Lonchura striata: one gene and its partners. The main gene of each other region encodes a partner of the protein of the gene in region 3 in a complex. Links are inferred from orthologs where the notes say so. Each region holds a gene or a part of one and is shown on either strand. Other genes may lie near its edges.

What was found.
Region 1: the proteins of DGCR8 (region 3) and ERH are in contact, whole or in part, in a crystal structure (PDB 7CNC), measured with the Homo sapiens proteins. The link is inferred for Lonchura striata from reciprocal best matches to the Homo sapiens genes DGCR8 and ERH. Residues at the interface, in NP_073557.3 of Homo sapiens: Lys107, Phe108, Ser109, Pro110, Asp111, Leu112, Leu114, Leu115; in NP_004441.1 of Homo sapiens: Val8, Pro10, Thr11, Thr18, Tyr19, Ala20, Glu27, Lys34, Met35, His39, Arg42, Met43, Phe60, Leu64.
Region 2: the proteins of DGCR8 (region 3) and DROSHA are in contact, whole or in part, in a crystal structure (PDB 5B16), measured with the Homo sapiens proteins. The link is inferred for Lonchura striata from reciprocal best matches to the Homo sapiens genes DGCR8 and DROSHA. Residues at the interface, in NP_073557.3 of Homo sapiens: Asn728, Ile731, Leu732, Lys734, Leu735, Gln736, Glu738, Met739, Lys740, Leu742, Ala743, Arg746, Arg750; in NP_001369437.1 of Homo sapiens: Leu984, Leu987, Phe988, Thr998, Tyr999, Thr1001, Ala1002, Ile1003, Gln1005, His1008, Phe1069, Asp1073, Leu1074, Glu1076, Val1077, Trp1078, Asn1080, Pro1082.

Annotation. Positions count from the first base shown.
Region 1 is NC_134608.1:33,810,144-33,820,722, forward strand, and holds the start of ERH (enhancer of rudimentary homolog), read right to left. Parts: upstream 4,222-10,579; 5' UTR 4,115-4,221; coding exon 4,112-4,114; intron 1,120-4,111; coding exon 1,032-1,119; intron 1-1,031. Other genes in the region: SLC39A9 (zinc transporter ZIP9), read left to right, coding at 4,810-4,905, 8,687-8,795. UniProt on the Homo sapiens protein: May have a role in the cell cycle.
Region 2 is NC_134603.1:97,750,768-97,761,080, reverse strand, and holds the start of DROSHA (ribonuclease 3), read right to left. Parts: upstream 4,856-10,313; 5' UTR 4,805-4,855; intron 4,500-4,804; exon of another isoform or gene 4,274-4,499; intron 3,575-4,273; exon of another isoform or gene 3,394-3,574; intron 3,387-3,393; exon of another isoform or gene 3,197-3,386; intron 3,166-3,196; exon of another isoform or gene 2,075-3,165; 5' UTR 2,068-2,074; coding exon 1,217-2,067; intron 1-1,216. Other genes in the region: C1H5orf22 (UPF0489 protein C5orf22 homolog), read left to right, coding at 4,920-5,024, 7,441-7,586, 9,112-9,261. UniProt on the Homo sapiens protein: Ribonuclease III double-stranded (ds) RNA-specific endoribonuclease that is involved in the initial step of microRNA (miRNA) biogenesis.
Region 3 is NC_134620.1:8,229,537-8,239,918, reverse strand, and holds the start of DGCR8 (microprocessor complex subunit DGCR8), read right to left. Parts: upstream 5,000-10,382; 5' UTR 4,859-4,999; intron 1-4,858.

The DNA of each region.
Region 1 (10,579 bases), on a different chromosome or scaffold from region 3:
ATTTAAAGACTCTATGAGCTGAAACTGTTTCAGCTCTTGATCCACAAATAAAAGTTTAGAAATTACCACCATAAAAACAATCAAAATTTCTAGAGCTGAAATACTTTTGTTCCTAGCAATTTGCATTGAAACATAGTACTATAAATCCAGGTAAGATGCATGGAAAGAAAAGTTTTAGTGCTGTCAAATATGTAACTTTTCATGCAGTAAGCTCCAACAGACATCTGGAACTATTTCTAATAATTTTAAGACAACAATTAGAACATATATTCCTACTACACAAACACCTCAGAAACAGAAGAACTCTTAAGAATGATCCTTCTTGATCCAAGAGTCAAACAAGGTATTGCGGCAAGAATGACAGCACAAATGTGTATATACATTTAAAGCACTTTTATTTATTTAAACTAGTCCACTAAATTCAGATACATTTGAGAAGAATGTAGTACTAAAATGAGCAGAGACTTTACGTGGTCTTTGTTATACTTTTGTTTGCCTCACAAAACCTCCTGCAAGACTAATGTTAAGTGAATGACAGCTCTAATATTTCAATCTTCTTTCCACGCTCATTATGCGTATCAAAGTTTTGCAGGATCTTTACTCTGGCACATGTGCCATGAGACTGCATGTTATGCATCAGTTGCACACAATCCTTTATTTAATATATTATTTCCAGCAGCAAACTTTGCCTTACAGTGCTAAGAAAAGAATACTGAGAATTAACTGCTGATCCTGCAATCAAATGCATTGAAACAGGTCTGCTGCATGAGCCCAGAAAGAATATTATCTACTCTCCCAAACTGGATGTGGTTTCATCTAGTTAAATCAAAACCAGACATTTAATAGAAAAAGGAAGTTTTAGAAACAAATAATAACTAGTTTTTAGTTTGCTAGAACATTAATAAGCTAAAAGCATGAGGGTTTTTGTGAATTACTTTTGAAAAACAGCTTATTTTCTCATTAAGTTTGTGAATATGTCAAAAAGAGGATTTTAACAATAGTTTTTAACTTCCATGTCTGCATCCACCTACCTTCCATGCACTCATTCACTGATTCATAATCAGCATATGTTCTGCCTTCTGGCCTCTTGGTAGGCTGGACAAGTAGAATTGTGTGAGACTGGGAAACAAAACAAACACAAAAATACAGGTTACTTGCACACTTTGAATGATTTTGGTTTGAATCAAGTTATTTATATGAAAGAAGGAGTAAAATGAAGCACAATAGTGAAACACTAGACTAGCAATCGAGGACACAGACATTTTCCACATAGCATTTACTATATATGTAAGCTGTGTTAGTTTTGTTTTCAACAGATCCTATCAATCCTTATGGAACTTTAAAATGTGTAAAATCACCAGTAAACAGCTATTGTGTTGAAAAAAAAAATACCACAGGAACAGTTTTTATTTAGACAGACAAGCAAAGCAATAAAGTCAATGTATAAGAGCTGTGGCATTACTGCATTTACTTATTTAATTCCAAATGCAAGCTGTTAGTAAAATTTCCAATGCCCCAATTAAAGAGCAAAGAGGGGACCCAACTTAACAACATTGTCATGTTCACATGAAAGATTTTAACAGAATTAGCTGTTTTAAGTTATCAATTTAACTTCAAGGGAAGTGATACAATAAATCTGTACTTAGCACTCAAGATTATTTCTTGCAAAACAGATGTACTGGTTTTTCCCACTTCAATGAGTTTACTTAAACAGTAATTATGGCACAGAAAACTGTTCCAAATGTTGGAGTCCATAAGCTTGTTCTTCTGCGGGAAAGGCTTAGATGATTGTACACTCTGTGGCTTCCATTATTTCCATAACATTTTTACTTGGCTGCAGCAAGTAATTTGAGCAAAAAAGCAAGATTTTTGAAGTGTACACAATCTGTGATCTCATTAACAGGTTGCATACCACAGAAAGTTTGCAAGCATACTGCAAATGGCCGTTTCCAGTGCTGCTAGTTGGATCCAACATTTTCAGCGGTAATATGTGAGGTGAGCACACAACACAAAGGCATCTGCAGATATCATCTGTCTTAGATTAATCAGCAGCTGACAGAAAAATCCTGACCCATACTTTGGAAATCAGTAAAGATACCAATTCGGTGCTCATGAAAAGCAGTGACAGAAAAGAGAAATGACAAATGTTAGGATTTACAGGAAAAAACCCAAACAACAGGACAAATTCTTATCCCATAACTGACAGTGTTCCCATCCTTGGAATACAGTTTTCAGTTCTTTGTCTCAACACAGCAGTAGCAGATTCTGAGAAATTCAGGAAAATGTTATGCAGAGAAAAAGAAGGAGCGAGGCTTTATCTAATCAGTAATGGAAAAAAGGGGAATTCTGAGCTGCACACTGTAACAACAAAAACCATACAAAGGAGAGGAGATAATTTAAATCCACTTTCATGTATGCCAGAGGATGACTGACTTGAAGGGAATTCCCCAAGGTGGGTTGGTATCTGGCTGTTCCTAAGTGCACAGTACTTGGAACAGGCATGTCTTAGCAGGGAGTCCAAATGACTGGCAAAGATTACCATAAAATAATTTTTCCAGCACTATCATTTTAGTTAGATGGTCACTGAGGAGTGCTAAATGAATGTATAAATTCTGAAATTACCCAAATAATCAGATTATAGAAACATCAGTGAGCCAGACACGTAAGCCAGTTCCTTCAGAACTTCACAGCAGAAGTCATTCAGACTTCTGACTTTAAGCCATTTATCACTTCAGACACTATACAATATCCATTATCAGATACTGGCTCAGAAAAATATGTAAATTAATACCACTGGATCACGTGTATTGTAGAATTAATGCTTTTCAAACATTTCTTTGGGAACTTGACATTGTTTTACTTTAAAGGAAAATTTGTTGGATTTGATAAAATTGCTGGTCCTGTCCTACCACGTAGGTACAAATTAATGACAAGCTCAGAAGCCTTAGGGAAGTCTCCTATTACCTGCCCTGTGAGCCTAGGTGACAGAACCAAAACAAGGGAAGATCCACAAACCTTTCTGCATTAGCACCAGGTCGTCTGGAGAAGCCCAATATGGACCGTTACTATGATGATACATAATGTTGAATTTCTTTGCATTTTCCTTAAAAGCACAGTTTACTCGCTGCTTTTAAGCAGGACACAGAATGAGGAATCACATGGTTTATATTATACCAATTTTGAACTTCTGGAGAGCACTTGAGAAATTGCTCCTGCTACTGAGAGCAGAACCCTGTAAAACTGGTTAAAGCAGTGCCAAGAGCCAAACCAGCAGGACTTAAAGCTACACAGCATCTGCCGCCCAAAGAGGCTTCCACCAACTGTAGTGTATTTGACAATAAAGTGGAAAAAAAAGCGCCCTGAAACAATAAAAGTGGAAGATATACACATATTATAAGGGTAAGATGTGCAGTAATGCAAATACCAACCAGTCGCATACTGCACACACCTAAATGCCAAGCAGAAAAAGTGGCCTAAGGCCCACCTTTCATTTTGGCCAACAGGGACAGGGCTTGCAGCTGCACATCATGGCCGAAGTCAACTGCACTGGAGCAAGTACCAGGCAGATATGAAACTTCGCTGCAAACCGACAAGAGGCTGTCCTCCCACTGCACAGCAATCACTTGCTTCAGCTCATCTTAATTCATTAGATGAACGCAACAAACCACGTTAATAGGGAGGCCTTTGAGCTTCAGCGTGCCATTCCCAGTGCCCATAAATGCAGCTCCCGCCCTTCCCTCCTTCGAGCAGAGGGGAGGAGCAGGGAAAGCAGCATGGAAATCGCAGATCAGCCATTTAAGGCCGGCTCGTCCGACGGGCGACACTCGCAGGAAAGCGTTGGGATCCCAGCAGCGCCCCAAGAGGGGCCGAGGCTCTGGGGGAGAGGGGCAGGAGCCTCCAGCGCCCCGCTGCCCGAGCGCCACCGCCGCCTTTGTGCTCCCGCCCCGTCCGGCCCTGCCCCGCCAAAACGTGCAGCCGCCCGCCCGGGCCCGCACCAGCGGCCGCGGCCCTCCCGCCCGCAGTGACCCGGGGAACAGGGAGAGGAGGGAAGGGAAGGCCGCCCCGGCGGGCGCGGCGCTGGCGGAACGCGGCGGGCCCGTCCCGCTCTCACCATGGCGGCTCCGCTCCCTCAGCACCGCCGGCAGAAGTGGCGCGCGGCGATCCCCCACAGGCCCTCGCGCCCGCCGGAAGCGCCGCCGCGCCAACGGCCGCCACCATAGAGCCGCTCGCGCCAGAGCGCCGCGCGCGCACGCGCCCGCGGGGCCGCGGCCAGGCTGGCGGGGGCGGGGCGCGGCCGCCGCCATCTTTGGTGGGGGAGCCGCCCGCGGCGCCTCGCGGGCCGAGGCGCCGCCCGCCATCTTGGAGGCGGGCAGCGCGCGGGGCGGGGCGGGGCGGCCCGGAAGGGGAAGCGCCGAGTGCCACTTGGCCGCCGGGCAGCGGCCGCGGGAACGGGCTGGCAGCGCCGGTCCCGCACGGTCCCCTCGGCCCCGCCTGGGGCTGCCCCGCCGCGAGGAGCCGCCTGCGGGCTCGCTGTCCCCCAGCCCTCCCTCCCGCCTGCCCTGCGCGCAGCACGGTGCGGGTGCAAGTTCCCCCGCCCAGGTGAGGGCCGGGCCCGCCGGCCGCTGGCCAAGCCGCTCCCGCCCGGCCGCGCACCCCGGCTGCGGGCCGAGCCGGCCGCTGCCGCCGGGCGCAGAGACATGGCCCAAAGCCTCTCCCGGGAGCTCCGTGGCTGCACGGGTTAAGGCGTGCTGGGAGGTGGAAAAGTTGCTGTTGGATTTCACTTCAAGGGACCGGACAGAAAGCGGCGAAATGGATGACTTCCCCTCCATCTGCCTGCTGTCCCTGGCCATGCTGGTTGCCTGCTATGTGGCAGGAATTATCCCCTTGGCGGTTAATTTTTCCGAGGTAAGACAACTCCGCCAAACTGCGCTGGTTGCTAAGGGAGAAACCAGAGAGATCTCCCAGTAGGAGTTGGTGCCGTCCCCTTGCAATATGGCAACGCTGCTAAGGGTGAAGCTTTATCTTTAAAAGTTATGAGTGCAGTATTAATTTTCATTCAAAACTACTGTGTAAAATTATGCTTGTTTCACAGTGGCCATTTAAACTTGCTAGATTTGAGTCGGGTCTCTGCTACAGGTGAAGTGAATTCTCAGCACGTAGTGTAACGACATGAATAAGCATGGCTATTCTTAGAAGCTTGTGTAAGAAATGGCTGAAGTCAGTGATTATCTCTTATGTGCCTGTGGGCTACTCAAATTAAGGCTTCTAAAACAATTCCAAGAATATTGTCAGAAAAACTTTGATTCACATTTTAGCTCACAGCTTTCACTGTTGAAAGTTAAATCTTAGCTCTTTGATTACTATAGAGTTACTGCCCCATGTAATTCAAGGCATTCTTTCAGAAAAATATCTTGGATAAATAAGGTACTTAAAGAAGAGGGAAACTTTCAAAGATTGGGTAAGTTGCCAAACAGTACAGGAGTTCCTGGTTAAACATCTTTGTGTGCTTCTAAGAAATAGTTGTTGAGGTGAGCATGGTTGTCACAGCCTCTGTAGGATTCCTAATATCCTCTGGTACCCGAGGGGTTTTTTTCTTTCTAAATGATGGTTATTTTATAGAGGCATGGCATAGTGAGAGTTTAGTTGTACTATGGTACTAAGAGCACTCTCATGAGGAGTTCCCATTTCTCTTGGAAGTAGTGTTACTTTTGGGAAGCAGGGTGCTGGAGTAGAAATTTGTCTTCCCTTGTCTTGCCTTTGTCTTCCATTAAATCAGAGAGCTGCTCGCACCTGTCCTTTGGTCCCATCATTACTTGGAGGCTTTGGGAGCAGTAGACCTTGAGCAGCTTGGAAGAAAAGGCTGTTTGTTTTAGGATAAGTACAGCTCAGCTAAATGAGTTGAAACCTAACATTCTATTCAGGCATGTTCACATGAACATCAGCAGAGTTCTGTTTTGCCAGTGCTTCATCTGATGCTTTGGTGGACCTTCCTTTATGTGTCTTTAGTGTTGTTGCTCCCACTGTCTTGCTCTTTAAAACTCATTTCTGCCTGAAGCCCACAAAAGGTTTTCTTGCACATTTGCTGAGAGCACTGCCTTGTGTGCTAATATTATCTCTTTTTAAATTTAATTTTACATTTCGTCATGTATGTGCTTGATAGTCACCTGTTAACTCTTAATTTATATTCAGTGTTGTTTGAAGTTAAGGTTCTTGATCTGTCTGGATGTTTACTTTGTGTAGTTGATGCAGTGTGGTTCATTCAGTGGTCTCCTAAACTTTTCAAGGCTTCCAGGAGTTGCAGGAATACAGATCTGTTGTGGATCCAAAACTGCCTAAGCAGTAATCATGTACTTAATTAGCCTTTTGTGTGTGTGGTATTGAACCACCACTATGCAATGTGCAGTCAAGTTTATTACTATCTTAAGCTCTCAGAGATTCTAGAGTTGGTTTTACACTTGATTTAGATATTTTTAAGGGTTTGCATGCAGTGCTGGTTTAAAAAGAGCAGAATATCTCTGCACATGATGTACAAATCCCAGCTAATCCTGGAAGTGTCTAATTAGAAGTTATAATTGTTTTGTTTAAAATTATTGGTTAGGAATCTGCAATAAAGACAATTTCAAACTGAAATGACTGTTTGGACGGTCCTTTCTATAGTTTGCAAAAAGTTTTGCAGGTAGCCAAAGTGAGTAAAAATACCTCTTCCCACTGGCCATTTGTAATGATTGAGTTGAAAACAAAAGTGAATGCTGTGCATGGTATACCCCAGATACTACAGAACAATAAAATTATTCATTAGTGTTAATACACTAATGTGTTAATAGTGTTAATACATTCCTTCAGATTCCTTTTTGCCATGGAATTTATTATTTATGTTCTGATCTCATGCTGTGTTCTATTATTTCAATTAGATTAGGATATTGGTGAGAGTATAAAACTCTGGGAAAGCCAGGTATGACTAAACATGAGTGATGAAAGGTGCCAACTGAAGAGAGCTGTGCCTTAGTTCTGTGTGCAGAGGTACCCTTTCACTTTAATCCTAATATACAGGGCTCTATTGGTCTAATTTTGGGCTGGAGACAGCACTCTTCCAATTCTGAGGCTGTCACTTAAACTGTAGTCTAAATAAAAAAAAAAATTTAAATTGAAGTTTTAGCAGTTGAAATGTTTTGGTGGTATAACATGAGGCAGGAACTGGGGTCACTTCCTCCTGAAAGTAGGTGTGAGTTTTTGATAGGTCCAAGTAAAAGTTTCAGTGCCCTACAGACTTAAAAAAATACTGAATGGTGAAGCGGTTTGCTAATTTGAAATTTTTCCTGTAGAGTTTTAGCACTGCTTACTGTGTTGCTCTTGTTTTTTAACATGCAAGTGTATTTAACAGAAATGGTTTGATTTCTTGTATAAAGGTGTATTCCTTCTACCTATATATGTAGGTTGTTCTTACTAAATTTCTGTATTCACTACAAGCAACTATTTTGTACTGAAAATGAGATGGAGACTTACTTTGAATTAACTTGTTAGTCTGTATTCTTTTAATGGATCTTTAAAATTCACAGGTGCCTGAGTGAAGGCAAGCTATGCCATGTATTTGCAGTTGTAATTAATCAGTATTACTTCTGACACTTTACTCTGTGTGTGTGTATGCAAAAAATACTATAGTGTTGCAGATAAAAATAATGTTTTTTTCCTTGTATGTTACTATATTTTTGCAGAATTACTTGAACAGCAAATGTTGAAAATTTATCTTCTCGTGTAGATTGCCATTGTATGCCAATTTGCCAAGTGTAATTATTCTATGTCCAAGTATACAGTGCATGTTTGTGGGAGCTTTACACTTGTTTTCATCTCTTGCATATGACTGTTGGAGTTTTCCCCAGTAATGCTGCAGTTGTTCCCTTATGGTCATATTTGGCTTGCTTTCAGGAAGCTGGTTGTGCATCTCCTAATGCCTCCTGCTTCTGTGCAAGTGTTGCACATTTCATTGACACTGAACTGTTTGTGTGGTTATAGTGGATGAAGGAGAGTGATGGCATAAAAATGATATGCAACAAGTGATTTCCTGCTATTCAAATGCTGCCCTCTCTCTCTAGGTCCTCAGTAGTTATCATTAGTGTTTTGGTGGTGCTCAGACTTCTCACTAAACATAGAAGATGATGGTGATTCTGCCACTGAACATGTGCTGCACAGTTCTTAGGAGTATCTAAACTCCTGTGGTTGCTATATGTTGTATGATGGGGGTTCTTATAGAAATTATGAGCAATGGCCTCTGCTAATTGTTATATTTTAGACTCTATTATATCATAACAATTGGCTTTTAGTATGTGGCTTTGACTTCAGCCTGTCAGCATAGTCAAAAGGAAGTGAATTGGTGAATTTCTTGGTGAAACAGAATGTAATTCATTTGGGAGGAGGATATATCTCAGCCTTTTGCCCCAGACTAGAATATAACTAGGAAGATAACTCTGAAAAACTTGGTTTTTGTTATAGAAATGATTCCAAAAATATGAATAAAACTATTATTCTTTACTATAAAAACATTAGGTTTATATATTGCTGTTAAGGTTTAGTTGAAAATTCTCAATATTTATGTAACGAGTAACCCCCTTCCCCAACATCTGTTAATAAGGGAGAGTAAAGAAAGTTTTTTCTTTCTTAAAGATTATACTTGTTTTGTACTTAATTGCAGGAGAGATTGAAGTTGGTGACTGTTCTGGGTGCTGGCCTCCTGTGTGGAACTGCCTTGGCTGTCATTGTGCCAGAAGGAGTACATGCACTTTATGAAGACATTTTGGAGGGTAAGAACCAAACCCAGAATGCCTCATTCAAGATAACTTAGTCATGGTGTGTTATTATATACTGAGGCTTCTTTTTAGAGTTTTTAAGATGAGATTGATAGAAGAGCTTCAGAGCAGCATGACACAAGGCAGGCATAGAAATGCAAAGCTACTATAGGCATGATATTGCACATGGAGGGATATGATCAGTCTGCAGATTGGTGACTCTTGCTGAGTTATCCAATCATTTGTGGGTCTGGATATTGTACTGTTCATGGAATAACAGCCTTTTACGACAGGTCATGTGTAGTGTTTCTTGCTCTGGGGAGAGTTTAACTTCCACTGGAACTTCAAAGGAGGTGTAAGGGTGCCTTTGGCAGAGAATGAAATTATGGAGTATTTACTGCTTCTCTTTGTAGTTTAGGCTGCTTCTCATTAAAGCAATTGCAGGAGGTGTTTTACAAATCTGTGTCCCTACCCTAATAAGAATTTCCTCTGAAGCTGAAAAGCATCTTGGAACTAATATACTTAGCTGAAAGTTATGGTTATATAGGGCTAATTTACAGAGTAGCAGGCATTTCTTCTTGCCTAGTGGTATACATTATACATCTAAATCTCTGTGTTCAATCATCCCGTTTTAGTCTGCTGTCACTGTTGTAACCACCTCATTTTCTCTAATGAAGAGTTCAAAGTGACCAGAGATTGTGTCTTGCAGGGATATTTGTGTGGAGTGTGTCTTTGAGCCGAAAGCCTTAACAGACCTCAGTTTGAGGTTATGGCATTGTTTCAAATAGCCAGGGCTCATCACCTCTATTTGGAGTCACTTTAAATTTTGCTTTTGCTTGGAGACTTGTGCTATTAGATGACCATTGCATGTATGAGATTTTTCCAGTATGGTCAGAATCAAAACATTGAAGATAAAAGGCAGTGGCTTACTGATTGCAAGGGAAAGCACTATAAAGTTGATGCTGTAGAGAAACTTGCAAACATCTGGTGTACTGTTGTTGCTAATTGGGAATGAGAGGTAACTGTAGTCCTTTGCTTTTCCTGTAGTGCTGGGTTTTGCATTTCTAAACTTCTAAATTTCATTTTAGTAATATGCTTTAATGTATATTGTTTTAGCTTCCACTAAATTTATGTTGTTCTGCTTAGATTTAGAATAAACAGAAGAGAATACATAAAATCATCCTTTATCAAGAAGTGAAAGAAGCTCTAATTATGCCTTTATACTGCACTATAATTTGTGCACTCTGATGTCGATGTCTCTAATGAGCTGTAGTTGTGGGTTTGCTCTCCATTCGGTTTTAATTCTGAGTAGACTGATTTTTCTCTTGTAATGGTACAGCTAGCAGTGAATACAATTGCTGTGAGCATTTGTGGGTTTTCACTAAATGGGGCATATTGTTCATGTATGACTAAACAGCTTGCTGTGTAGAGCTCTATGGGCTGTAACTTTGTTTAGTATATGGCAAAAAAAAGACACTTCACAGTACTGCAGTAGTAATAGCAGAAGTATTTACTTAGAAAAAAGTGTCTGTGAATGGCTTCAGACTCGATGTCTAATTCACAGTATTGTGTATAACAATAGTCTGTCTGAATTTTTTTTATACTGCAAAGGATAGAATTAATGGGTATTACAGATTTAACTGCAAAAAAAATTTATAAGATTTTTTCCTAGAAAAATAGAATATTCAAAATTAAGACTGTGAGAACAGCTTTCTCTTTTATTTTCATGTTCACCTATTTACATCATTAAACCTAGAAAGGTGCAACTAAGGGAAACATTGAGGTATATAAGTGGAAAA
Region 2 (10,313 bases), on a different chromosome or scaffold from region 3:
ACAACTGACCCACCTTCATTTTCACCTCGGGCCTCTCTTGAGGTTGGCTTGCTGAGGTCTTCACCCTGAACAAAAGCTCTTCGCAAAAACACCTTACTGCAAGTTAGTGTGGGAACCCAGGGCACAGGAAATATTTCTCTGTCTGCTCTGAGGGGACCTGACTCACAGAGAAGCACTGACTTTGACCCTCATTCATGGAGAAAGCTTCCAAGACTTCAAGACAGACTAGAAACCAGAAAGTGTGAAACAGATTATAGAGATTAGTATGGCACCTCACTTGGGTGAGAAATTTAGGTTTTGGGACTTTTACTATGTTGTAAATTGGAACAAGATGGAGGTTTTAGGGTGGAGGCAGTTTGTTCTTCTTCGCCTTCTTCTTCATGGGTTTGGATGATATCTCATAATCGGGCAGGAGTCCTCATTGCGGGCTTCAAAGGATCAGTTATTGGTTAAAAGGTAAAATAATCTAAGTGTCATTTCTTAATTGGACAGTTTAGTCTTAAAAAACCTTGTAACAAGAGATTGTTGGCCATTTTTGCGGTGCTTTTCCAGCGTGCAGAGTCTGGTATAGATGGCGTGCAAAACTTTTGATAAGGTAACAATAAACAAGAAGCTGAAGATCAAAAAAGTCCTGTGCATCTCCTTTTCCTGACACAGAACAGCTCCAGAAGGGTTTTCCCCCTGACAGGGGAACCCCGAGAGAGGAGCCCAACGTGGGGCAAAGAAACCGATATATTAGCTATGGGCCCCTATCAGACTATAAACTTCACCAAGTCAGTATTCCCTGTAAATCCAAGGTTTACTGAAAGAAAGCAACACCCGGCACCCAAATCTTGAAATTTGAAGTGCTAGGGCTTAATTGTAAGACTCAACTTTCTATAGTCTTACAGTGACAACTCTATTTTCCTGCCACGTGTGCATTCATTTCTAAGGTAAATATGTTGAGCACTACTCAACAATCCACTCAGTGGGATGCAAAGAAACTGTTGTTTGAAAAACTATTTCCATGGACAAGAGCAACAAGTCTGCCAGCTCACAACTGTGAGGCAAAGCAGTGCACCTGAAAGGTGTCTAAACAGTATTTTTTTCCATGAGACCTGATTACTGGCTACTTCCCAAGCTAGAGGGACAAACAAGGGTAAGGGAAGAACATTGATGCAAACACACATTATGGGCCATGATGACATCTATCCCCCTGCAGGCAGGTAACTGTTACCTGTTTCGCTCATAACTTCTGTGATGAGGCGATATCCTTCCTCTCTCATAATCCGTCCGGTGCCGACTGCTTTCCTGCCTCCTCCTATCCGGACTGCGGCCCCGATCCCGACGATCCCCGTGGTTGGCGGAGCGATGCCTGTCGCCGTGAATGTGCCCGTGCTCGCGGTGCCGGTGCTCATCGTAGTGCTTGCTCCTGTCAGGGGAGCGCCGGTCGCTTTGGGACTTCTCTCCCTGGTACTGCCCCGTGTGCCTGAAGTGGCTGCTGCTGGCGCTGCTGCCGGCAGCGCTGCTCGGGAAGGAGCCGGAGCTGTGCTGGTAGCTGCTGAAGCTGGGCGGCGGGAACGACTGCTGCGAGTAGCCTGCCGAGTACACGGGCTGGTAGCTGACTTGCTGCGGCATGACTGGCGGCGGGGGAGGGTGTGGTACCGTGGGGGGAGGCATCATGTAAGGAAAGGTGCTTTGTCCAGCAGGTGCTCCTGGCACGGGAGTGTTGCTAGGGTTTGGCACTGGTGGAGGAGTGGGTGGGAAACATGGAGGCACTGGGAAGCTCTGCCTCATCTGGTGGTTTGGAAATGGTGGCCTCATGGGACACTGGCTGATGGGATTTTGTGTGGAAGGGGGCACTGGAGGAGGATAGGGCACAAAGTCTGGCCTGGGAGGCATGTAACCGGTGGCTGGAGGGTTGGAGTAGGTTGTTGGAGGGGCAGTTTGCTGCTCATACTGGTACTGCACGGAGGGCTGCTGTGGGTGGAGCTGCCGGAGGTTCTGAGGGCGGTAGGTCTGTGTTGAAGTCCTTGCTCCTGGTCCCCCCTGGCCACGGGGACATCCTCGCCCAGAATGGAAAGACATGGCTCACCTTTATTGAGGAAAATAAAAATGCAGTGTCACACAGTTTTTGTAAGATGTCTTCAATGCATCTGCAGGAGCTACTCCTGAAGTGCTGACACTGCAGTTTCCTTTAACAGAAGCAATAAATGATATCCACTTTCACTGGGAGCTTTGTGCTCCTCAGACATTTAGTGCAGGCCATTTATGCCCCTTTAGATTCCTTCAAGCCTCTAATCCATGAAAGCACTTACTGTCTTCAAGCCAGAACGCAAGCTGGATCATGCTTTACGAGTTAGGGCAATGTAATTTCAACAAATTATTGTAATGATGGCAGGTCAAGGATACAAGCACCTCCACTAGGACTTTGACACTTTGATATAAAACCTTTGGATACCCCACACCAAAGAAATCACTCATTATTATAACTGCAGTGGTTATCCAAAGTTGTGTAAGAAGTTCTCTCTAGAACACAATTCTAAATTTTGGGCAGAATGACTTGACTAACAAATCTTTGGATGCCTCCTGGCCAAACAAATCATGTCAACTTTAAATTAAATACTAGCTTGCTATTGAGTCCCCAGTGTACTAAAGACTGAATTCAACAGACCCTTCAAACTCTTTTAAGTGAGGTACGTATATTTTTGTGGAAAAACAGGTTACACATCTTGCAGGTTATGAAAAAAAAAATCATGCAGACTGTGCTATTCCTTAATTTTCACTGAAATAAATGATTCCAAATAAATCCCTCAACTGCCTTCTTGACCCTGTTACCCTTGAGAAACCATCACTGCTTAAAGTAGGTTTAAGTGTTGCTCAAAACAAGGCATGTATTTAAGGCATTAACATTTATAAATGAAAGCACTGTGCTTCATTAAAGTTTAAATTGATTTTTTAATTGCAATGGTAAGTTTCAAAACCTGAAAAAAGGAGAAAAAACACTTAAGAAAATTTATGGCTGGAACGGAAGGAGAGGTGAAAAAAATGATCTAAGCACCTCCAGAAGTCAAATCCTGTTTTCTGTAAGGGGAAGTGAGAAAGAAAGGGGAGACACACACAATTGGAAAGATCACCAGAAAAAAGAAACAAAGCCTCCCTTTCTCTGAGGCTTTGCTGATGCTGAAGAATACACATGCACAGAATATTCTCCCACCTGCTATAGTGCAACATGGCCAACCTGGACTGCTCAGAGCACTGCTCTCAGCCACATTCCGGTGACACTGTAGTAAAAGTTGCAGCACTTGCTGAGAGAAAGCAGACAGCTTCTGGTGAACTGGAGGGAGAAAGGAAACGAAACACAGGGGCAAAGGACGGATAGCAAAGATGAGGAATCAAGAGGACCCTCCTTACACATGCAGTGCTTAGTGGAAGCCACTGGAATTGGTGGTAGTATTCCCTCTCCAGAACAATCAAGTGCCAATGTGAGTGTGATTCCCACACTATGAGGAGATAGCAGCCATGATGGTATAAAGCCACGTGTTCCTTCCAGTCAGCCTGCACCTGCTCAGTACCCTCTAATATTCTAAGGGCTCTCAAAAAAAAAAAAAAAAAAAAAAGTCACAACCAGGGGAGAAAAAAAAAAGTCAACATCCATTTTGTCTGGCAATAGCATACCCTTTTGATATTACTGACTATAATCCATCAGATGCTGAATTAACTTTGCTTTGGTTCTCCTGCTGTGCTCTTACACAACTCAGGCTTGTAACAGAAGACTGTTTTAGACTTTGCTAATGCTCCCATACACATGTTATTTAAACAGGCTGTACCACAGTGCCTTATCTTTAGGTGCGTTTCTTTCTAACATGTCACAGCATTCAAAAAAACAGTCTTGTTTATCAGCTCACAGACCTTCCCAATGCCAGAGAACTGCTCTTGATCTATTACTTTAATTTTAGTCCTTCAGCAAGCCCAGAATCACAATTGGAAAAAAAGATTCAAAAAGACACGGAACTATTTTACATGCCCAAACTATTTTAAAGCTCCCTCTGCTGCAAACGCAAGTCACATTAAACTTCAAAAACACAAAAAAGAGCAAACTCCCCTTCCCCTGTCACCTAAAGAGGAATTTTATTGCACCAATAGGAGCCATTGCATTCTAAAGCAGCACTGGTCCCCTAAAAAACACTGAATAAACTCATCTCTCCCTGCAGATGCACTGCTGAGAGCAACAGGGCACTGACACATCGAGAAGAGAGCACTGAGAGGGGACATCATCAATGCCTGTAAGTACCTAAGAGAGGGTATCAAAAAGGCTGGATTCAGGCTCTTCTAGTGCCGTGCAACAGGCACGAGAGTGAACGGACAGAAGCCGATGCACAGGAAGTTCCACCGGAACATGAGGAAGAACTTCTTTAACTGTGCGGGAACGGATTCCAGAGAGGCTGCGGCGTGTCCCTCACTGGAGATACCCAGGAACTGTCCGGACGCAATCCTGTGCCATGTGCTCTGGGATGACCCTGCAGGAGCAGGAAGACTGGACCAGGCAACCCACTGTGGTCCCTTCCGACCTGACCCATCCAGTACCACCGGCCTCGCCCCACCGGCGCCTCCCGCCGGCCCGGGGGCACGGAGCCGCCGAGCCGCCCCTGCCGGGCCCCGCTGCCCGCGCCAGCCCGGCCCCGCCAGCCCCGCGGAGCCGCCGCGCTCCCGACCCCGCGACCCCTGCGGAGCTCCACGAGCAGCGCGGAGCGCCCCGAGGCGGCCCCGCCGCCGCCCCGCGGGCAGCCCGGCACGCCGAGCCCGCCCGGCACGCCGAGCCCACCTGGCGCCCTCGCCGCCGCCGAGCCCAGCGCCGCCCGCAGCGCCCGGCTCCGGAACAGGAAAGCGATGGGAGGCGCTGCGGGCGGAAGCGCCGCCCGCCCGAGGGGAGCGGCGGCATGAGCGGAGCGGAGCCGCGGCTCGGCGATGCCGCCCGGCCCCGCGGGGCCTCCCGGCGGCGGTACCCGGCCCTGCCCGTCTGGGTGGTGGAGGACCACCAGGACGTGAGTGCCCCGCGCTGGGCTGCCGGGGGATGGGGACTGCCATGGGGAGGGTTTCCTTTGTTCCTGCCTGCGTGTGTGCTGGTGTTTCTCCGCGGCGCGGATGCTCAGAGGGGCAGGAGGAAGCGAAGAGAGGTGCCCGGTGCGGTCACCGGCGGCCTCCCGGGAGACGCTTTCCCGTACGTGTGCGGCTTCTCCGGGCGCTTCCCGGGGAGCGGCCCTCCCCTCCGCAGCCGCACACAAACCCCAAAGCCGCCTTCCCTTCCGCCCTGAAACATCAATGAACTTCAGCGCCCAGGTGGCCCGATTTTCCTTCCCGATTGACTTATTGCCATGATCGCATTTTGGCATTTTTAAAAGCAATTATTGCTGACTGCTTTTTCTTCTTTTGTAATTGAACCACACCAATTGCTGTGGTTTAAAGGAGATAATACCTACATTACACTGCTGTTTTAATTTGCTGGCTATTAGTGGGGTGCTTGGAAACTCAACCCTACCCAGTGTATGACATGTCAGCAGAGTATAAGTAAATATAATCCTATCCCATCTAGTAGATTGACTCCCACTTGATGAGGAATGTTAAAAATCTGGAGCTTTGCCTTTTTTTTTGTGGAGTCATTGAAAAAGGGAGTGAAGAAGGAATTGCTTTAGAATTGCTGTTTCTGGTTTCTCATGGGGTTTTTTATAATAGCATAAACTGAGGTTTTAATCCTAAAATAACAGATTCTTTACTTGGTTATTTGCAAAGAGAAAATGTTAGTGTAGTAAAGTGTTTTAAAGACAATAATGTTACAAATTTGTTAGTAGTTTAATACCGTTCATTTTTGTAAAGACTCGCTGAATACAGGATGCTGTGACAGCTGATTTTTACAGCTCTAAGTAGCCAAGGACTTAGAGTGTCAGTGTGGTAGGAATTCTGAGATAATACCTCTTAATGATCCTTCTTTACTTTAGTCTCTATATTTCTGGTTTTAGTCAGCTTAAAGTTATATTAATACTATATATTTAATTTAAAACATTTTCAGCACAGGAGTGTGGATTAATTGGTCTATCTTGCATAAAACATAATGGCTTTTTGTCCCGAAGTGGAAGAACTTCACAGAAGTTTTGATATCAGCCTTGCTGATAGTGATGTTCCTCCAGAGCAAGTTGTCAGTAGCTGCATCATGCACTGATTAATAATAACAGCTGTCATGAAGGAAATTTTGTTCTTAGTCCAAATCAGGAGAATTTGCAAGGTTAGAGAGGTTAGTCTTTCCTGTCTCTTGCAACCAGTAGTTGCACTTACCTGAGGTGAAGCTTCAATTTTAATTGAAAATACTGTATGTTATTTAGTAGGCCAACTTGCTTCTTTGTTACAAAAAAGTAAAAGCCATGCAACAGGAAACCCATGTTGGTTTTAATCTTGTTTTATCTATTGTTGCAATAATATACATATGTTTTACGGTTATGCCTATGCAGTATGCAGGGTTTATCATCTTAATCAGTTTTATGCCAAAAAAGTAGCTCAGTTGCTTTTGTAATGCAGAGGTCACATATATTTTTTGTTGCTTCTTACAGTCTTCACATTCCCTGTATAATAGTGCTGTCATTCACAATCCTTGTTGGATTTGCTCTGATAGCCAAGGCAGTTGATTCTCTCTAACTGTGGAAGAGCCTCTGTGAGCTCCAAGAGAAAACAGCCATCAGTTTTCTCATTTTTACCACCCCATATTATTGCAGTTCAGTGGTTTGCTATTCCTGTAAATTGGTGAGTTGCTTCATCTCCTGTTTTTCACCTATCTGAGTGAAGAACTTCAGCAGAGAATAAAGTTGGACAGGTAAGAAAGATAGTCTCTATTGCAAGCAGTAATGGAAGGATTAGGAATTAATTCTCCAAGAGGAATAGGTTTAATGATCAGCTGAAGTTTAAATCATGGTGGCGTCAGTTTTCAGTCTATATCATTTAACTTATAAAACATAAGGAGCAAACTGTTTTTATCTCCATAGCACCAGTGCATGGTGAGAAAGCTTTATAGCATGGGAAAAGAAGTACAAGGCCAATGATCTGCAGAAGAGGAAAGGCATTCCTGAGTCTTCGGTGTAAATGGAAAAAAAACCCCTCAAACATCTAGGAATAGAGTTGAATGGCTAGTGAGAAGAGCTACTGCAGACAAGACTTCCTATAAAGAAGGAAAAAGGGTGTAAGGCTGTGACTTTTCAGCAGTTTCTCATCTGGAGCACTTGGGCTTATAATGATTACTGTTCACGAGTTGTCTTGCCACTGGAGTTATTTTCCCTCTGTATTGTTTTCTGTCTCATCCTCCCTCTAATAAAATTCTAAAGGAATAAAAGTGGTACTGGTGGTTTTGCTGCTAAAGCTGTTGCATTTTTCAGCTCACTGACTATCATTAAAATGTTTTTATTCATGTTGCTTTAGGTGCTGCCTTTCATCTATCGTGCCATTGGTTCAAAGCATCTTCCTGCCAGTAACATCAGTTTTGTTCATCTTGATTCCCATCCAGACCTTCTCATTCCTGTGAATATGCCTGCAGACACAGTATTTGACAAAGAAGCTCTTTTTAGGCAAGTCCTGGGTACTGCATCAGAGTAGACTTTAAGTCTAATTCTTGCTGCCTTTGATTCACAGTGATTATTGCTATGACTGCTTAGGAGGGATGAACAAAAGTGATATAAGTCACATTCAAGTTGCATCTTCTGTCTTTTCACTTTTGCTGAAACTTTATTTTTTAATGGCAAAAGTTACATTGCGTATCAAGCAATTTAAGATGCATGACGTTGCTTTGTGTATTGACTCAATAGTGTATGATGGTATTAAGCCAAATGTTTCTTCTGGGTAACAGGAAAGCACTCTGGATGCTTTGTCTGAAAAGCTGTAATTACAAGCTGATGCATTTGGTGTACTTGAATCACCTTAGCCATAGTCAATATTTTGTTCTCTTTATTGAGTGACTAAAAGGTTTTGTGGACTCTATCACAAAATCATTGAATGCTTTGGGTTGGAAGGAACTTTAAAGATCATCTAGTTCCAACTCCCCTTCCATGGGCAGGGGCACTTGCCACTAGACCAGGTTGCTCAAGTCTCCATCCCACTTGACCTTGAACACTTCTGACTATGGGTCACCTACAACTGCTTGGACAGCCCACGTGGTGTATCTCACCACACTCACCATGAAGAATTTCTTCCTAATATCTAATCTAAACACCCACTCAGTTTAAGCCCTTGTCCTATCACTGCATACCCTTTTAAGAAGTCCCTCTCCAGCTTTCTTGTAGTCCCTTTTAAGGTATTGGAAGGTACTATAAGGTTCTGTGCAGAGAACAACCCCAACTCTCTCAACCTGTCCTCATAGGAAAGGTATTCCAGCCCTATGATCATCTTTGTGGCCTTCTCTGGACCTGCTTGAACAGGTCCATGTAATTGTTATGTGGGGAGCCCAGGGCTGGATGCAGCACTCCAGGTGTGTGGTTTCACAAGAGCGGAGCAGGGGGGCAGAATTCCCTCCTGTGACCTGCTCATCACACTTCTTTTGCTGCAGGCCAGGATACAGTTGGCATCATACACCTAAAATAAATAGGGTCTTGATTATGAGGAAAGATGCTAATCCTGTGGATGTGGATTGACTCACTCTAATTACTGGGATGACATTTAAAATACACTTGGAGAAGTTTACAATAAAACACTCTCATGAGGTCAGTTTGAAGTTATTTGCAACAATGTTGATGATGTTCCTTGCACTCTCCTCTGTCTGATGTATCAAGAGATAAAGGGCATAGAATCACAGAGTCACTGATGTTGAAAAGGCCTCTAAGGTTATTGAGTCCAACCATTAACCTAACACTGCCAAGTCCACCCCTAAGGAGTTTATAATCAAAGTGCCATGCTAAGAGTGAAGCCAATTCCACTCTACATCTACTACAGACCTTATTGGTTTGTCTTAGGAATAAAGATTTCCCTCTCTTTCTTTCTTTACCCTTACATGGAGTACTACTTTTAGATTATTTGCATGGGGGCCTTCAAGTTGTGGAAGATGTTTGTGGTGTTCTTGACCATTTATATTTATCTTGTGTCTTTCTCTACTGATTACAGTGAATTAAGTATTGAAAACTGGATTATGCCTGCTGTTTATGCTGGCCATATTTCTCAAGTCGTGTGGCTTCACCCACACTGGGCTCAGCAGATCTCGGAAGGGAAACACAGTTTTCTAATTGGGAAAGATTTATCAACAACAACGATCAGGTGAATTGTCTGCTGACATATATTAGTAATATAAAAGCCATCTCTATGGATTTTCATTGGAATTGTTTTGTTTTCTTGGATAAAGATGAACATTTAATTTATGTTTATAATTTCCTTAGAACCTAATGCAGTTATACTTGTATCAATTTAATCTTTGTTCTAACTAGTAAAATTGTTAATTGGTATCAGCCATGACTGTTTTTCTAGTGTGGGGTGGGTTTTTTTGTTTGTTTGGAGTTTTTATTGTTGCTGTTGTTGTTGTTTTTTGAAGTTAATTTAGGTAAGTACTGAAACAGGCACTCAGGTAGTGAATTCTCCATCGTTTGATAAAGGACAATTCACCTGAGCAGCCTCATCTAGCTTTGAAGTCAGTTCTGCATTGATCAGATGATTGACTAGAGACTTCCAGTTGTCTCTTTGAATCTTAATTATTCTGTGATTCAAGTTCAAATTAGAGCCCCTCACCATTCTGCAGGATGCAGTCCATAATAATTTTGTATTCACCATATTAACAGTGTTGTGATTTTGTGCAGCTTTAGGGGATATTTGCAAATCATGGCTCTTGTGAGCATAGCAAAATAAATATTTTGAAGCAAGTTTAACAGAAGACAGCAGAGAAGTGCTTTGTTTTACCACCTTAAATAAAACATTTAATGCTCTATGATTCTGAATCTGAAGCCTAAAGGGAACCTAAATGATTTTTTTAAAAAAGCTAGTGCTTTCTGTTGCATTTAATAATTTAGCCAGTATATAGGAATAATGCACAATGGTTGAATAGCTCTTTCACTGATGGCTTTAGCAGGCATGCAAACAGCATTTCAGACTTCCTTTTGAAGACATTTGGGTACATTTTCTTCAGGTTCTAGGCCTACCAAGACCATCAAAGAAGAAAGGGAAAGAATCCTCATAAATACAAATTTCCTAAAAGTTTTGATGACAAAAGATGGATGGGCAATAGATACAGCCTCTTCATTAGTGGACACTAAGGTACTATGGGCTCATGGTGAACCCTGCAGAATTTCTGGGAAGATGTGCTGTGATAGCCTTGTCAA
Region 3 (10,382 bases):
ATTTTGATTTCTCCAAGTCCCTCCATGCCAGCCCAAACCAGGCTGCAATCTTCCTACAAGCTAGAAACAAAGCACTGTCACTCTGCCCCAGGAGCCAGCTGGCTGAATCTGCTCTGTTTAAATTACTCCCAGCTAGCAGAGAATGTCTTCCCAAGTATTTTGGAAAGACAAGCTCCAAGATCTCTCATCTTGTTGTGTAACACTGAAGGCAACAGGGCAGGAGGTCTGGGCTGCCATGAGAGACTTAGGGAAACCAAGGGTAATTCTCTCATGTATCTCTGTGTCAGCCCAGGCAGAACAAACCAATAGCAATATCCAAACACCAACTGGGGAAAGGCACAAGGCTGGGAATCAGAAGCTGTAATGGGATCAATTAAAATTCAGCAAAATACAGCAGTTACCTACCTGGAAGCTGGAAGAAAGCATAATATAGAGCAAACTCTAGTATGGCAACAAAGCAAATTTTGCTGGGGCAGCAGAGGAATTCATATTTTGTGGTGTTTTTTTGAAGCGTGTAGCGTTTTTTAAACCTACTCAGAATTGTGACACATCCAACATGCCGAGTTTGACATGCATTATAAAATTACTAAGGAGAAAAACTGGTAAGAACTCTAAAATAATCCCATCTTCTCTGATACCAACACATTAATTCTCAGATTGAAAAATGGTTCATTCACCAGTAAGACAATCAATTCTATATATCTAATTCCATTCCATCCTACAAGATGACCTAAATACAATGACCTCAGCAATGAACAATTCCTTCATCTTTCAACAGGTTCTGGAATGTATAATGTAGAGAACACCCCTAGAGAGAAATTTGTCTATAAATTTCCTCATCTTCAGATTAAAAAAGTAAAAAAGAATGACAAATTTTTACATTCTTCACAGTAAATCCTAAGTGTCTTAATTCTGAACAAAAGAATCAAAAGTCACAGCATGTGTTCAGTAACTCCTGGAAACTAAATGCCTAAGTCATCTAATTTTTCCATCTTAAAGAGTCATCTAAAGCCTCTTGAAAAGAGCAAGCAGAATTCACACAGAAATGGAATACTGAAGTCAGCATTCTAGAATTTGAAAGAGCAAACCCTTCCCTTGTGTTCAAGGAGCTTCCTCATCCTGACAAAGACTTAGTTTTGACAAGGCTACGACATGATCCTCAATGCCACTTCCAGACCCCCGATACATGTCCTGCTCCTATGCTGAAGGGTTTTACCACCACCAATGTCAAAATAATACTTAACCTTTACCTGCCCAGCTCAGGCAGTTCACTGATACAACATCTCTGCTCTTTGCAGGAAAGATGTCTTGTTATTCTATTCAAGCACTGGTAACAATTATATTCTTGTTGTCTTCCCTTTCTTGCTGGCTGTGAAACCATGAATAGCTGAACGATGAACAGCAAATGACAGCCAGGGATTTTCTGCTCCTCAGCACACACTGGCTCAGGAAAAGTACTAGACCAAAATGGGTTCAAATGAGCTTTTTCCATTTCTAGCCATGAACCTGCCACATCTCTAGGGTAAAATAACAGGCTGGTAGTAATGCCAAAAAGATTTTTGCTTTTTATATGTTTTTCATATATTTGCAGCTCTGTAGACTACTACTATAGAGTTATATAGCTCCTTAATTAACTCTGGTACTTTTCCCACTTAGACTTTAGAGCAATAAGACCTTCTAAACACATTCCTGGTATATTGTTTAGTCTTATTCTAAGCAGGGGACCTACAATAAGACATAATAAGAAGTGGGCAGAGACCCCTTGGACCCAGGGATGGGTTACAAGGGCAACTGAATCTCCTGGGTGTACCTGTTAGATACCCTAATTAATTAACCTTATAATAGCAGAAATCTGGTGCCAGGTGTGCCATCATGACCAGACACCTGGAGGTTTCCAAAGAAAGGTCTGTTGTTACTATTCTAACACTGTTGCAAGGGTTTTTTTCTCTCTTTTGAGTATAGGTAACAGTAGCTCTACAGTTACAGTGGGTTACAATACCTGCCTAAAAGCCACAAAAAGCAAGGCAGAACAAGTGGAACACAAGTCCAATTCCCATCTACTTCCCTGCCAGCTGACATTACAATATGCCCTTTATATCAGGGGCTGGGAAAGAAAAAAACAACAACAACAAAAAAAAAAAAACCCCAAAAAAAAAAAACAAAAACAAAGCAACAAAACCACTGAGCTATCAGGTATTTGAAGAGACAGAAGGGAGAAAAGGCAAAAGGATGAGTTAGATGAGCTTGTAGGTAACAAACAGCCAAATGTGCCTTAGAAAAGGGAATATAACAGCCACACACAAAAAGGCTCAGCATACCAAGTTACATCATAACATAAGTCAGTTTCCTTTTGTGATTCTTCACGGAATTGTCCTGAAATAACATTTTATTCTCCAAGGCTCCACGAAGTTCCATTAACTATTTCCATAAGGATTCATTCCTTCCGAAGAGACAAACACCACTGGCAGCTGCAGCAGGCAGTACAAACACTGAAAATGTGAGTGCACAGCTCATGTTCTGCAGATTACAAGCACATGGAATTTCCACAATTTTAACTCCTTACTCTTACTTTAGCTAATCGTTTAAAAAAGTTTCATGCCACAAAGTAAACTAAACAATGCAGATACTGGGGAGCATATAAATGTAATATAGCAAACTGCACAGGTCCCAAAGAAAGCAGAGTAATCTTAGCCTCATTGTCTTACAGATGTCCTTTAAATGCCAAAAGGAAAAAACCAAATCTACTTTGCTTAGTAAGTACCACTGCCCAGTCCCACAATCAGACAAAAAAGGAAAGGGAGAAAAAACACAAAGAAAAAAGGGTATCCTTTTTCAAGACAGAAAAGAACCCCAGAATCTTAAAATTTGGAAATTTTAGCATCACCCAAACGCAAAGAAAAATTCCTTTCTGTAACAGCAGATCAGCAGTCTAGAAAAGAATTTAATAAAGAACATATTTTCTTTACTAATACACGTAGCTGCAGCAAGGAACAGCATACCACAAATTCTCTCTTCAAAAAGTCACTTTTGAAAAGAAACTGTGTCAGAGACTGCTCACTTCACATTCAGTGAACCCCAAAATGAAGAGTGGCTCAAAGGAAACTCTCCTTATTTGCTAACCAAATACAAATCCTCCGCCTCATCCTCCAGCCCTAAATGGCAACTCAGGTGCTGATCCATTAACCTATATCAAATTAATTTCCCACTCTCAGTCATCTACCTTCTTTTTATGAATACCTAATGTGTCTTTTCAACACATACAACTCTAGAAATAAGTTAATCCTATTTATTACCACTGCTAAAAAGAAAACCCACAAATCCAAAACAAAACCTGAAGAGACAGAATTTATTTTCTTTAAACCAGAACAGAAAATACCAAAAGAAAATGTGCTTTAAGATAATACTACATGTAAGAATTCAGTTCTCCTTATTATGAGCTGTAGTGTAGAAAGATTCTGAAAGAAACAAGCACTTTGTGCAAGTCAGTTAACCAAGGATGGTTAAGAAAATGGAGCCAGAACCCAACAATCATATTATCAGTGCAAATACAGACAAGGCTCAGTAACTTCTCTAGTTCCTAACACTTCATTCCATTTCAGAACGAACAGAGAACATAATTTTGGAAAGCTATCCTCAGAAACGGCAAAACAACAGTTGCTTTTAGAGCTTGAGCAGTGTTCTGGCATGATTTAGATGGCTTGATTAATTATGTAAGACAAGAAATTGATTTACAAAAGACGAAAATCAGAGCCTAGAAAACAGAAAATATAGTCTTCCTTTCCCATTATATGTAAGCTTCTTACTTGAAAAGAAAAACAACAGACATAAGGAACCAAAACCCCTTCTCTTTCTCTAAAGAAGCAAAACAACCTTGATAATCAGAAGGCGGTGCCTAGCGACCCAACTCCTCATCCAGAATTAAAAATAGGAGCCCCCAAGTTTAATTACCCAAACAGAACAATCTCTCAAATCACAAAACAAAAAAGATCTAGTTCCAAGACCTCTAACGGAATAAAGAAAACTGAATGTGTTCACCCAATTCCAGTTTATGGTCGCGCAACGCCTGGGTATTCAGGTCTCAGCAGGCAAACAAACTTTGCAGACAAACCCAAAGCTTAAGGAAAGGAGGTACAAAAGAAGGAACTATTTCCAACCAAAAAAAGATTAAAAAAAAATTTAAAAAAAATGAAGAAAGTTGGGAGCATTAACCTTACAGAGATTGAAGGAGATAATTTACTATTAATAAAAAGAACACATTAGGAAGAATGCTGAGAATTACCAGACATCACGTTACCTTCAGTGCACCAGAACTAAAGGAGTGCCCGTTTGCCCGCACACACGTCGTGCCTTTTCTTCCCAACTCCGCTGCGGGGCCGAGCCGCGCTCCCGGCCCCGTACAAAGGGCTGCGGGCGGCGGAACCCCCGAGGCACGGCCCCGCATCAGCCCGGCCAGGCGGGGCCGCGGGCACAGGCACGGCCTTGCCTTCCCTTCACAACCCCCAACGCAATCCCACGGCGAGGCGAGCAGGGTAGGCGGGGAACGACAAAAAAGTCCCCCAAAACACAAAATCACACAAGAAAAATCCCCAACAAAACCAAACACCAGCTCTGAGCAGAGGCCGCTCAGGCCGGGCGCAGGGGACGCGCCGCACGGCAATGCCCGGCGGGCAGGGCGGCGCCTTCCAGCGCTGGGGACGTCGGTGCTCGGGGAGCGGCTGCTCCGGGCTCCGCGCCCGGGGGCCGCTCCGGGCCGGCGGCGGGAGCGCGGCGGGCCCGCTGGCGCTGCGGCCTGTGGGGCGGAGGGGTTGGCGCCCGCGCGGGCCCGCCCCGCCCGTCACCCCGCGGGGCCCGCACCCACCTGGGCCATCCCCGGCGGCCCCGCCGCTCCTGTGCCGGGGCTGCGGGTGAGGGCGAGTCCGGCCGCCTCACGATCGCCGTCCCGCACTCCGCGCTGCCGCCATCTTTAAACGCCTGCGCTGGGCCCCTCCGCGGCCCGCGGGCGGGACCCCGCGCGCGCCGAGCCAATGGCGTCCGTAGCGAACGCGGTCACCGATTTGAAATCCCGGCTGCCATTGGCTCCTTCCCGTGCCTGTCACCGCGCTCCGCCAATAGGAACGCGAGAGACGCCCGCCCTCACAGGCCCGGGCCGCGGCGGGGCGGGCGGGTCCTTTGTGTGGCCCGGGCACCGCTGGGGCCTTTTCCCCCGTACAAAAAAAGCCACTTTTCCCTGAAAACGCTGTTTTGTATCTTTAAGGAACAAAACTACAATATCACTACAAGGCTGATCTACCTCAAAAGGATAAATCAAAGTAGAGCGTTTCTGCTGCTCTGTGTACCAAGCAGTTGACAGAACAAGTCCCAAATCTGACTGCAGTGTTTAGACAGTATTACTAAATAATTATTGAAAATACCTTACATAATTTATGTAAAATTACTTCGAAAGTGTTAACATTTGCTGTCCTGGTTTGCTCTATTATTTTATCATTTGCGAGCAATATAGAGCTTTTATTGATATACTTATTTATAGGGTTATTTCTTTTGTTGTTCACTAGTTGGAAATCAACATCAGACAAAATACTGTGATAATGGATCCTGATTTCATCACCAATAGTATGTTTGTGCTTGTTTCATGTGTGACTTCAGGATATGAAAGTCTTTTTCTAGTATTTGACTGATCTCATGTTTTTGAGGTCCCCAAATACTACTATGAAAGATAACTAATGTTTTAATAAAACTTTAAAAACTTACTTGGAAGACTGCTGTTAGGTCTTTACATCTTTGTGTCCTGCTGCACCAACACTTCTAATGATAGGGTGATAATTTGGACATAACACCATGGTACCATGTCAACACAAAGATCAGGTTACCAAAACTGCTTTAAATCATTGCAAGCTGCCCTCAAAAACTGAATGCAGTTTCCACTAAAAGCAGTCTCTAATTTTTAATTCCTCCTAACAGGCTTATGCACTCAAACCATTATTTTAGTGATTTTTAAATTATGACTGCTTTTATTAATGCTAAAACAAAGCACTTCAGAATGTGCATTTCATAAACACCCACAGGTTGCAAAACAGCCACTCACATCACACTTCAACTGTCAAAGCTGAGGAAAAAGATCTCACAATTAAGTAAAGAGCTTGAGTTAATGCTGGTATTTGCTGTGTCAGGTCACCTCAAATTGCTAACACTGGTACAGAAGTCTGTCCCTCTCAAAGGACCTACCAAAATTCAAGTTTTGTGACTCACTGACACCCCATTTATGTGACATATAAATGAACTACTGCAGTAAGATCCCATACTTCAGAAAAGAGGTTATATTTTTTATATGTATGTGAACAGCAGTGCTTCAGTTAGGATCAGATGTGGCACACAGAGAGATTTTTGTATAGAGTTGGAGAATCAAAATGCCTGCAGTGTTTAAAAAATGAAAAAAACAGATTTAGTTTTTCCATTGTGCATCTGTTCTCAGAGAATTGTAAGAGTATGTCTTAAACTAATGGTGCAACAGCTGATTTTTTGAGACACAGACTCTACAAGGAAATAGACCCCTAATTTTATAAACAAAAGGATAATAATCTATTAACAAAACAATGTTTTCATCCAAAAAATGCTCAAATTGTAGTTAAATTTTTAAACCCCTTCAAGAATTAAACTTCATCTGCTCTCATCTGCTCTAATAAGGTGCAAAATTCACCTGAAAATTTTCATCACCTGGACTTCTGATGGAAGACTTGTCAAGCATGCACAAAAATCTTCAGTTTTTGAATTAGAAGTGTACAGGTCCACCTGCATGGTGCGATCAGGATTAACCATAATGCCATGAAGTGTTATCTACAAAAAACCAGTTCCTAATTACAAGGAGATTTTCATATACAAGATATTGAAGGCTGTACAGAAACTACTGCTGTTCACACAAAATACAGCCATCAGGCCTGTAAAGACAGAACTATGAGCTTCCCAATAAAGTTAACAGGCTGCATTCATTGGATCGAAAATTAGGTGGAGCCAGTGGCTTTTTCATATTCTTCCTATGTCAGTAACTGCAGCACATACTGTGCTGTTTCAACAGCAAAAGCTTCTGCACGACAAGTTTTGCTCAGCCTTCATTACTTTTATTTCAGTAAAATAAGTTGCACTGCAGCTTTTCACTTTTTTTTTGGGGGCATTGGTAAACTGGTATCTGCTTGCATTACATATCTTTGTCTTTTGCTTCTTGCTGCAATCTGCTGTCCTCAATCTAATCTGTCACACATCACAGCCATGGAGAGATGTCAAAAGGACCCAATGAGCAATCTCAGGTAAGTTCTTGAATGTCAAAAGAGGTGGTTGATTGCTAAAAGAACTAATCAAAGTAGACAGAGTCTTTGGCTCAAGGATACCACACAATTACTAATCTTGCTCTTGACATTGACAGATTCAACATAATCTAAATTGTGTTGTCTACAGAATCACATATGACTTCTGATTTTCCTGTTGGAAATACTTCAGTCAAATGGTTCTCCCAAAATTCAGACTGCTGGCAGAATTTTCCCAATAATGCAGACATTTTTCTAAAGACAATATTGCTTAAAGTGTGATATGATGTCTAAGTGGTCAAATAAAAAGTAACAGCTTTGCATTGAAATCTGGAAGTTAAAACAAGAAAAAATAAGACCAAAACCAAGTGACCTTCACATTACAAACTGGGCTGTACAAGCCATGCAGAAGGAACATTCTGTTCAATTGCCAGTTGCACCTGGGCTAGTGTTATCCTACAGTGACTGAGGTTTCCCTTAGTTATTCTTCATACATAGCACAAACCTATTCCTATGGCTGAAGATTCTGCATTCTTAAAATACACTCAATTTATCTAGGGGGGATATTAGAGAAACAGAAATAATATCTATGTGGGACAGAATAGTAGTCTTCAAACTTTGATTTCTGTAGGTCCTGTCATCCAAATAGTTCAGAACACTGTGCTGAAATAGGCAGTACTTATCTGTTCTTTACAACTTAAAATAAGAAACATCATCTGAGTCAGCCTCATGGCTGTATGCACATTGTGCATTCTGGCTACCCCAGCTGCTGTTGCATGGTAGTTTCTCTTGTGAGCCATCATACACCATGAAGTTTGTAACTCAAAGCTGTGGTAACAAAGCACACTTGGTTGTACACACTTTGTGTGAACTACAGCTAAGAAGCTGCTGCTGCAATCCCTCAGCCTGGACTCGTCTCTACATTGCTGGCAGCACACAGACATGAATCAGGAGCGTAATCTCTGGCTGTCAAAAATCCAGGTGTAGTTGCACTTATAGAAGTAAAACCATAAATGTCAGTACCTTTGTTTTCCCTGACAGAGGCCAAATAAATTACAGTTCTGAGAGCACAGTTGTGCTGCTAGGGTTGTTTTTAATGCAGCTGCCATCCTGGGATTGCTTTGCCAGTCTAAACTCATGCACATTACAAGAGAGAACTCAGACTTGACTGGCATAATATATTGATAAAGAAAAGAAGAAAATTTGCAACTGCTGTATTGCAAAGACACTGACACAACACATCTATATATGCTACATTCAGAAGTACAAGAGGCTAACATAAGAAGATTTATGCAGCAAAATAATTGGTGCAGAGAATTTAAATCTTCATGCAAGGTGCATTTCAGACAGTTTTGCTCAGGTTAAAATCATTACCTGTTGGAGAACACTTGGTCCATTCCTCAAGCACCTGTTCTGTTCCATCTGAAACCAGCCTAGACCCTGGCACCTGAGGCTGCCCTGAAATGTGAGCCAAGGCACAGTAAACAGGGACAATCAACAAGGAAAACTATGTAAAGGCACTAATCAAACCAGGGTGATAATGCAGACCCATCTGTAACTGAGAGGACAGTTAATTCTTCTCTAAATCCCAGCCATACCAGTGAGACAGAAGAAACAGGAGATGGATAATGCATCTGACTAAGATGTGGTTTTACATAGTTATTTTGAGTAGCTATTGACAGCAAATATAGCGTAGGGAAAGGAAAAAAAAAGCCTAGCTTTCTCATTCACCTTTTCCTTGCAAGAGTACATTCCTTTAACAGGGGCAAAAACCTCAAGCATTGAATACTAATTACAATGGCATACCACAAAAAGAGACACTACTGGCCCCACATATTTTCTAGTTTATCATTTAATGTATGTTAATTCACATCTGAAAAGTGATGTGGTTTTCTCCACTGAACAGAAGCAAGCAATGTGTTTACCCAGTCGGGCAAGTTACTGACCAGAGCTGGCTCTGTGTGTCAGGAGAGACACCGATGGAAAACACTCCAGCATCACCAGAGGGAAGCTGGAAAGCACCTGAGTGCCTTAGCAGGCACTGTCACTCAGAGGCCTCAAAGAGAACAGCAGCACAAACCAAGAGTATCATTCTGTATTCTCTGTTTTCCCCTTCCTCTCTCCATCTTCTGATCTGCATTTAGGTTTCAATAATTTTTCTCCATGTATCTTTCTAGTGCAAAGACATGACAATTTAATGTGCATCAGCAGAGATACTGCTTTTTTTCTTATTCATATTGTGCATAACTTATACATTGTCATTTTTGGCTATCCTGCTTAATATTATAATATTTATTATTTCTTCCTCATCTGTGATCCTATGTTCAGTGCTTATGTCTTCTATTTCAAAAGACAGGGTAAATTTGAGCATGTCAACTGGCTTGCTTTCATTCAGCTTCTAAGTTCTTGATACACAATGTTACACAGATAATTTATATATATATATATATGAGAAACATATTCAACATTTCTTCAGTCTGTTCACCTTAACCTACATTTTGCAGCATGAGTCACACTGATGGGTTCTGTAATTCTCACAGTTCATGTCTCTCCAGCTGATTGCAGCACTGATTCTATTTTCACCAAGTCAAGACTATTTCCTAGATCCTTAGAAGCTATCAACAAGACTTCTCTGCAGAAAATGAATCAGATGAAGAACATCAGCCATGTCCTGTTACATCAATTTGAATGAAAAAAACCTAACTCCTACTATCTAATATTCCATATAAATAGGGATACTTGCTAAGCCATAAATGTGCATTAAGTTCTATAGGCTAAAACTGAAATGTGAGATACTTTAATTATTGCCTTATTACTGCTTAGTATTGCATAGATTAATTCCAAAATTAGTTATTTCCTTATAGTATGACAAAAACAGTGTTTCAAGTCTTATCAATATTTTATCTTAATTATTCAGTTTGGTGTATTTCACTTGTAACAATAAATATCAATGAAGTTTTGAACATAGAGGAACTCCAAAGGCCCAACTCCTCCTCTGCTCTGTTCAGGTGTGTTTTATTAAGCTGCTACAAGGGAGATGAGACAATTCCACCTCCACTGCAGGGGCCAGTACAGCAGAACATTAAT